2 linked regions of the Oryctolagus cuniculus genome follow. The protein of the gene in region 1 interacts with the protein of each later gene in a biochemical or structural test. Links are inferred from orthologs where the notes say so. Each region holds a gene or a part of one and is shown in the gene's direction. Other genes may lie near its edges.

Region 1 (2,443 bases):
ATGGAACCCAGGTGTCAACCACTAGGTCAGATGCTAGCTCTTCTTAGGACTTTTTGAGGAATGGTGAAATACTGCTATATGTTAAACTGCTTTTCAAATAACCATCCTTGATGAGTAGTGAAACAAATTCTTGTGTTACTAGATATGTGTGTGTCATGTCTGATATTTGATATTCCCACCTTTTTTTTTCCTAGAATGAAATTAAAGCTTTGTCTGAGGAAAGAACTGCTATTAAAGAGCAGTTGGATTCGTCTAACAGCACCATCGCCATTTTACAAAACGAGAAAGACAAACTAGAGTTGGAAATCACTGACTCCAAAAAAGAACAAGACGATCTCTTGGTGCTGCTGGCTGATCAAGATCAGAAAATACTGTCTTTGAAGAATAAACTCAAGGATCTTGGTCATCCAGTAAGATTGGAATGTTGATGTGTATTATGTGTTATGTTATTTTATAATGCCTGCTGTAGAACGTTAGTGCCGCAGGGAGAAGTGGTGCCTGTATTACAGACACGGTTACATGGGCTCATGAAGTGGTGTCTGTCCTCTGTCTTGCTTCCACTGTGTTCAGTGAATTGACCCAAGACACAGATTAGGTTCAGTCTCCAGCACTTGTAGACTGTCTTTTGGATCCTAAACCTGGAAAGTGAATTGATTTGATTGTCCCTGTGATGACAGGACTGTTACACCCAAGTGTGCCAATGTCTTTGGCCATATTCGGTCCGGATTTGTGCAGAGGGTGGGTAGCCATCTGTCAGCAAAGTTAACCAGTAGATCTCATTTGTGTTAAAAACGACAGGGAGACTTGTGCATTAAATCAGGTGGCTTATATTCTGTAATTATTAGAATACGGAATTTATCAACAGTGTGTATTGTTACCTAATGAATGTGAAGTAAACACATCTTAATGTTAAACTTGTATTTTTCCCTTAGGTTGAAGAAGAGGATGAACTTGAATCTGGAGACCAGGAAGATGAGGATGATGAAACGGAAGATGGTGGCAAGGACCAGGATCAGGGCTACCTTTAAAATCCCTAGGGATGGTAGAGATCATATTGTAACTCAGAAGGTAGAATCCTGAGACAGTGCTTTGGTTTGCCTCCACAAGAAAATAAAGGTTTAGAAACCAAGTGGAAAACACTCACTAATAAGGCTATTGATGTATTTTTTAAAGGTTGCCACCCATGTTGAAAACCCTAAAACTCTTAGCTTTATGCAGAACACACATCTTATATTTAAATTCATCTGAACTATCCAAAAATATGATTTGCATAGAATTTCAGACACCAAAAATATACCATTTGAAGGCATGTGGTGGCAGTGCTATTTGCCTTAGTTCATTGGATGTTTTCTTTTCAGAACCTATGACTATGTACTAACACATTTTGATTTAATATATATTGAATGGGAATCATTTCTAAATGCAACCTTTGAGTTCTTAGCTGATGATGGTTTCCTTTTAAAGAAATGCTTTTACATAAAGGCAGGTTAGCGTGGGCTGGGGGTAATGCAGATCCCCGCCATCCGTCGGAGCAGGGGAGGCCAGTGCAGCACAGGGGTTCTTCCAGCTGGCGGCGTCCTGTAGCCGGTGAGGAAACGGAAGGGTGCTGGCGCAGCGGCACAGCGATGTGAAGGGTGCTTCCGAGAAGCTCTGGCGACAGTGTGTTAACACATTTGGTTTCTTTTTATTTTAAGCTAAACATCAAAAGCAAAATTACAAGTTAACAGCTCACACAGCTCAGATTTAGCACTGTTACTTGATTATCATCAAACATATTATGTTCCTAGTTTTAAAAAGACCCAAACTATGATTTATATAATTTATTGGCATTTGTGCTGAATAGGTTTAAGTCAGATAATAGATTTTTAAAAAGCAAATGAAGCAGTGTGTCAAAATTTAATGTTTTCGTAATAAAAATAGATAATATGTTCACTTAATCCCTGGTCATGGTTCCCTTTTTTTAGATTTTGAAAGAAGTATTTGATTGCTAATGGACGGTGAGGCAAGTGGGAATAGTGAGGGGAATTCTCTTACCCTGAATACTTTATTGTAACTTGTCACGTAGCGGCTCATCATTAGAACTGGTGCTTGAGGGAGCTTGTGGAGCCACTGTGGAAATGCAGGAGGTTGGAGAGGGCTTGGGTGTTTCTAAATTCAGAGTTGGTGTTCTTAGCAATACTTTGCTAAAATGCGTTTACGTCAAGGCAGGGCAGCCTGGGCTGTGGGGGTTAATGCGTAAAATCTGCCTCTTGGGTCCAGGAGTAGTTTGAGCAGTCCACTGTGAGGCCGAGGCTTTTGCAAGAGGAGTGGTGTTCACACCTGAGAGAGGCAGGTGGCCGCCTGTGACAGCATCTGTGAGTACTGCACGGAGTCCCCTGCCACTGCCGCTGCCATCCTGAGACAGTGTTTGCCGTCAGAGAACTACGTGACTGGCACTGGACAA
Region 2 (4,061 bases), on another chromosome or scaffold:
CTGCTCCTGTCAGGCAGGGATAACTGGGAGGTAAGTAACTGGGTCTGGGAACACGGCAGCCGAGGACAGAGAGAGGCAGCTGGAACACACAGGGGGCTGCCCAGTTACTACATTTTCCTGGGGTGTGAACAGCTGAAGTTCTGACAGGGTGACTGCCAAGCGTGGCATCTCCAGGAGCTTGGACAGCAGTGGTTGCTGGGAAAATGACAAAGGTGCTGATGCTCAGGGGAATTGCCTCCCAGGCAGGGCTTCCTTCCCGGGGTCTGTCACTGTGCCTCTGACCCTGCACTTCGTTCCCACTCTCCAGGATGAACCCCAAGAGCCTCAAGAGCCCGGTGAGCTGCCCTCAGAAGACAGGGAGACGGATGAACTTTGGGCATCTTTGGAGGCAGCTGCCAAGCGCAAACTCCCTGATTCGGAGCCGGCGCAAGGGGCTCTCCAAAGCAGACGGAGAAAAAAGAAGCGCGCTGGCTCCACCAGCCCTTGAAGACCCTGTGCCCGTTTTGTAAATAAACAGCTCAATACCCGCATGACCCTGAGCCTTTTGTGATGGGAGGAGAGGGGTGGCTTGTGGGGGCTCCCTGCGCTGGGGCAGTGGGATATCTGACGTCACAAAAGCCGGGCCTGGAGCCAGGCAGGCTGGCGTGGGTGGTACGGAGTCAGGGGCCGTGCGGGGCCATGGGCTGCTGCCAAGACAAGGACTTTCCGACCACCGATGAGCAGGCCAAAGAGTTCGAGGGAGCTGGGGAAGGTAGGACCAGGGGCGGTGAGGGCCCGGAGGCTGGGGAAGGCGCTGCCCCGGGGGAGAGCCCCGGAGGTCCGGCCGGGGAGGGTAGAGGTGATTTCAGCGGCCTCGTCCCTGCAGGCGCCCACGGAATCGATTTGGACTCCCCTGGCCACCGGAATCGCAAGTCGAACGAAAGCCTTCTGATCACCGTGCTGTGGCGGCGGCTATCCCTGTTCAGCCGCCGGGGCTCCTCGCGGTCCGGCAAGAGGCAGTCAGAGCAGATCCAGAAGAGGGAGAGTCCCATCCCGGAAGACAAACCTGAGGAAAGCCAGGAAGAGCCGGAGAAGGGGTGACCCCAGCCCTGCTGTCAGTCCGCCGCAGCCCTCAGAGAATAAAATTTCTAACGTGGACCCGCCAGATGACTCGTACCCTCTGCAGCCCGCTCCGTGGGCTGTGGGCTCAGGGGCCCCGGAGGCGGCGGGCTCTTTAAGGCTCCGTCCCGGGGCGGGGCTACGGCGGCGGCCCGGCCAATGGGAGGGGGGAGCCACGCTTGCGTCTGGGCGGGGGGCGTGCCTCCCAGGTCGCCGGGCTCGAAAAGGCGTGGCGCTGCCTTCCCGTCACGGGGGTGGGGTTACGTGTGGGTGACGTGGCGGACCCTAGGTTTCGGTCGGATTTCGGCGGCTTCAGAGCCCGGGGAGGAGGCGGTGACGGTCCGGGAGGCTGTGGCAGTAGCTGCGGCGGCAGGCGGCAGACAGGAGGTAGGATTCGTCCTGAGGGCGTCTGGCCGCCGTGTAGCTCCTGGGCAGCGACTTCACCGGGGTAGCGACGGGCGGGGGAAGGGAGCCGGGAACGAGCGGGCAAGTCCTGCCGGCCCGGCTCCGGGTGAGCGAATACCACGACGTCCAATCAGGAAAGCCTCTGTTGAGAAAGACGTCGGCGTTAGCTAATGAGTGGCGCAGTCCTTCAGGAGGCGGGACTTTGGCAGGGGTGGGACTTCCTGTTTCAAATAAACACCTAGAGGTTCCCTCTCCGCCCACCGAAGTGTGTCCCCCCGCAGGAGGTCCGTCACCGTTTCTTCCCGAAGGGTCAGAGGCAACCACGGCTATGCGGGGGCCCAGTTAGGGGCTGGGGCAGTTGCACAGGCCGGGCTGGAGCCTCAGGGCCTCGGGACCTGGCTCTGGCTCCGCCTCGGGGCCCCCTACCCGCGCTCTGGCCGCCGGAGCCGAGTTGGAAGAGTCTGAGGAGGGTTCGACCCGGGCCCGGAGGAGGTGGGGCCCTTCCCGCTGCGCGCCGGCCCCGGGGTCTGCGGGTGGCCCAGGATTTGCTGGTTGGAGGGGCGTTTGTGGGGAAGGCGTTTGCACTGCTTGGGGAATGACTCTCTCCCCTCCACGACAGAGGTTATGCGTCTCAATGATCCCGCGGAAACGCTACGGGTCTAAGAACACGGATCAGGGCGTCTACCTGGGTCTCTCGAAGACACAGGTCCTGTCCCCTGCAACTGCTGGCAGTAGCAGCAGCGACATCGCCCCTCTGCCCCCCCCAGTGGCCCCGGCCCCCTCCCCTCCCGACACCATGTCCTGCCGGGATCGGACCCAGGAGTTCCTGTCCGCCTGCAAGTCGCTGCAGAGTCGTCAGGTAAGGCCCAGAGTGGGAGCCTCGCCCACATCCGGGCAGGTCTGCTCCCCACCATCAGGGACACGTGGGCTTGGGAAGAAGTTCCCCGGAGGGTCAGATTGATGGAATGCCTAAAGGGCTGCAGGGTTTTTGGATAAGGAATAAACCTAGAAAGAGCCACCCGCTGTGGGGCACGCACCTTGAATTGTGCTTGCAGTGTGGTCCTGCCGTGAGTTTGCTCTGCGACTCTGGGGAAATTAAAATTTTCAGTCTGTAAAACAGAGAGAGACGGTGGGGGAGCAGAAGGAAGTTTTCCGGATGGGCCGTTTTTATCCAAGTCATTTTGGAGTGTTTGTTTAAGAATTAGAGTCCCTAGTTTAAGTCCCCAGATTTTGACACTAAGTGGGACCTGAGTAAGTATTTTAAAATATTTTTATTGTTCAGCTCTTGTTGACGAACTTCTCTTCTCTATGGTCTCCAAGAGCTTTCGGGTTCTCCTCTTTGATGCCGATGTGAGGGATCTTTCTTTAGTGCCGCAGGTGGTTGGTTAAAATCCTTTACAGCCTTTATGTTATCTAGTTTTGGCAGCAACTATCAGAGGTGAGTGGATTGTCTTCATCTTCAGGGAGAGGAAACAGATGTAGAAGAGTTTAACTTGCGCTAATTCTGCTAATTAGTGGTAGAGTCCAGACTTGAGCTTAAGCCTGCCCGTCTTCAGATCTGGCTTCTGAACACTATTGCTGATAAATCTAGGCCAGCAGAACTGGAGAGAGCTTGGGGGGAGCACGAGAGAGAGCTTGGGGGGAGCCCGAGAAACGTTGAAAGCTGGAAGTGGGGAGGAGGAAAGTGAAGTTTTCACCTCCGGACATTGCTTTTCAGAATGGAATCCAGACAAATAAGCCGGCCCTGCGTGCTGTCCGACAGCGCAGTGAATTCACCCTCATGGCCAAGTGAGTTGAGAGCAGCTTTGTGGCAGGGTGATACAGTGTCTGGAAGGAAGCTTGCTTTTGGTGACTTGGCTGTAAGGGCTGGGATTGGCTGTGCTAAGAGCTAGTGTGAGAATAAGCCCTCTCCCTCCCCCTTCCATGGTGTTCTCACTGTTGGTCATTTGCAGGCGCATCGGGAAAGACCTCAGCAACACATTTGCCAAGCTGGAGAAGCTGACAATCCGTAAGTATTCATGGGATCTTTTACTGGTTGTGGGATGAACCAAAGAGGGCAGAGGAGCCAGCCCCCTGAGCCTTGCCTTTGTTCTCACCCACCGTGGCTTCTTGTTTATCTCTGTAGTGGCAAAGCGCAAGTCCCTCTTTGATGATAAAGCAGTGGAAATTGAGGAGCTAACATACATCATCAAACAGGTGAGCTGCTAGGTAACTATCTGGAGAACCCAGCATTCTGTTCATCACTGCCATCGTTTTCCACTTGCCAGAGCAAGCTTCTAGAGCCAGCCCTAAACACCCTTCTCCAGTAAGTCAGTGGACACATCTGTTGACACAAACAGGAAGCGAGTCTTGCATTCTCAACAACAAGAGGAGAAGTATTCCAGCTGCATAAACCCATACTTAAAATGAGTAGGAGGCAAGTGGTACTGAAAAAAGCTTACGAAAGGCTGGCGCCATGGCTCACTAGGCTAATCCTCCGCCTTGCGGCGCCGGCACACCGGGTTCTAGTCCCAGTCGGGGTGCCGGATTCTGTCCCGGTTGCCCCTCTTCCAGGCCAG

What was found.
Region 2: the proteins of USO1 (region 1) and STX5 form a complex in vitro, tested with the Homo sapiens proteins (2 studies listed by BioGRID). The link is inferred for Oryctolagus cuniculus from reciprocal best matches to the Homo sapiens genes USO1 and STX5.

What each region holds. Positions count from the first base shown.
Region 1 is NC_091439.1:90,095,872-90,098,314, reverse strand, and holds the end of USO1 (general vesicular transport factor p115), read left to right. Parts: intron 1-194; coding exon 195-410; intron 411-932; coding exon 933-1,028; 3' UTR 1,029-1,937; downstream 1,938-2,443. UniProt on the Homo sapiens protein: General vesicular transport factor required for intercisternal transport in the Golgi stack; it is required for transcytotic fusion and/or subsequent binding of the vesicles to the target membrane.
Region 2 is NC_091432.1:8,759,459-8,763,519, forward strand, and holds the start of STX5 (syntaxin-5), read left to right. Parts: upstream 1-1,253; 5' UTR 1,254-1,257; coding exon 1,258-1,485; intron 1,486-1,711; exon of another isoform or gene 1,712-1,995; intron 1,996-2,122; coding exon 2,123-2,362; intron 2,363-3,220; coding exon 3,221-3,291; intron 3,292-3,455; coding exon 3,456-3,511; intron 3,512-3,628; coding exon 3,629-3,699; intron 3,700-4,061. Other genes in the region: WDR74 (WD repeat-containing protein 74), read left to right, coding at 1-30, 308-487; TEX54 (testis-expressed protein 54), read left to right, coding at 679-751, 866-1,080. UniProt on the Homo sapiens protein: Mediates endoplasmic reticulum to Golgi transport.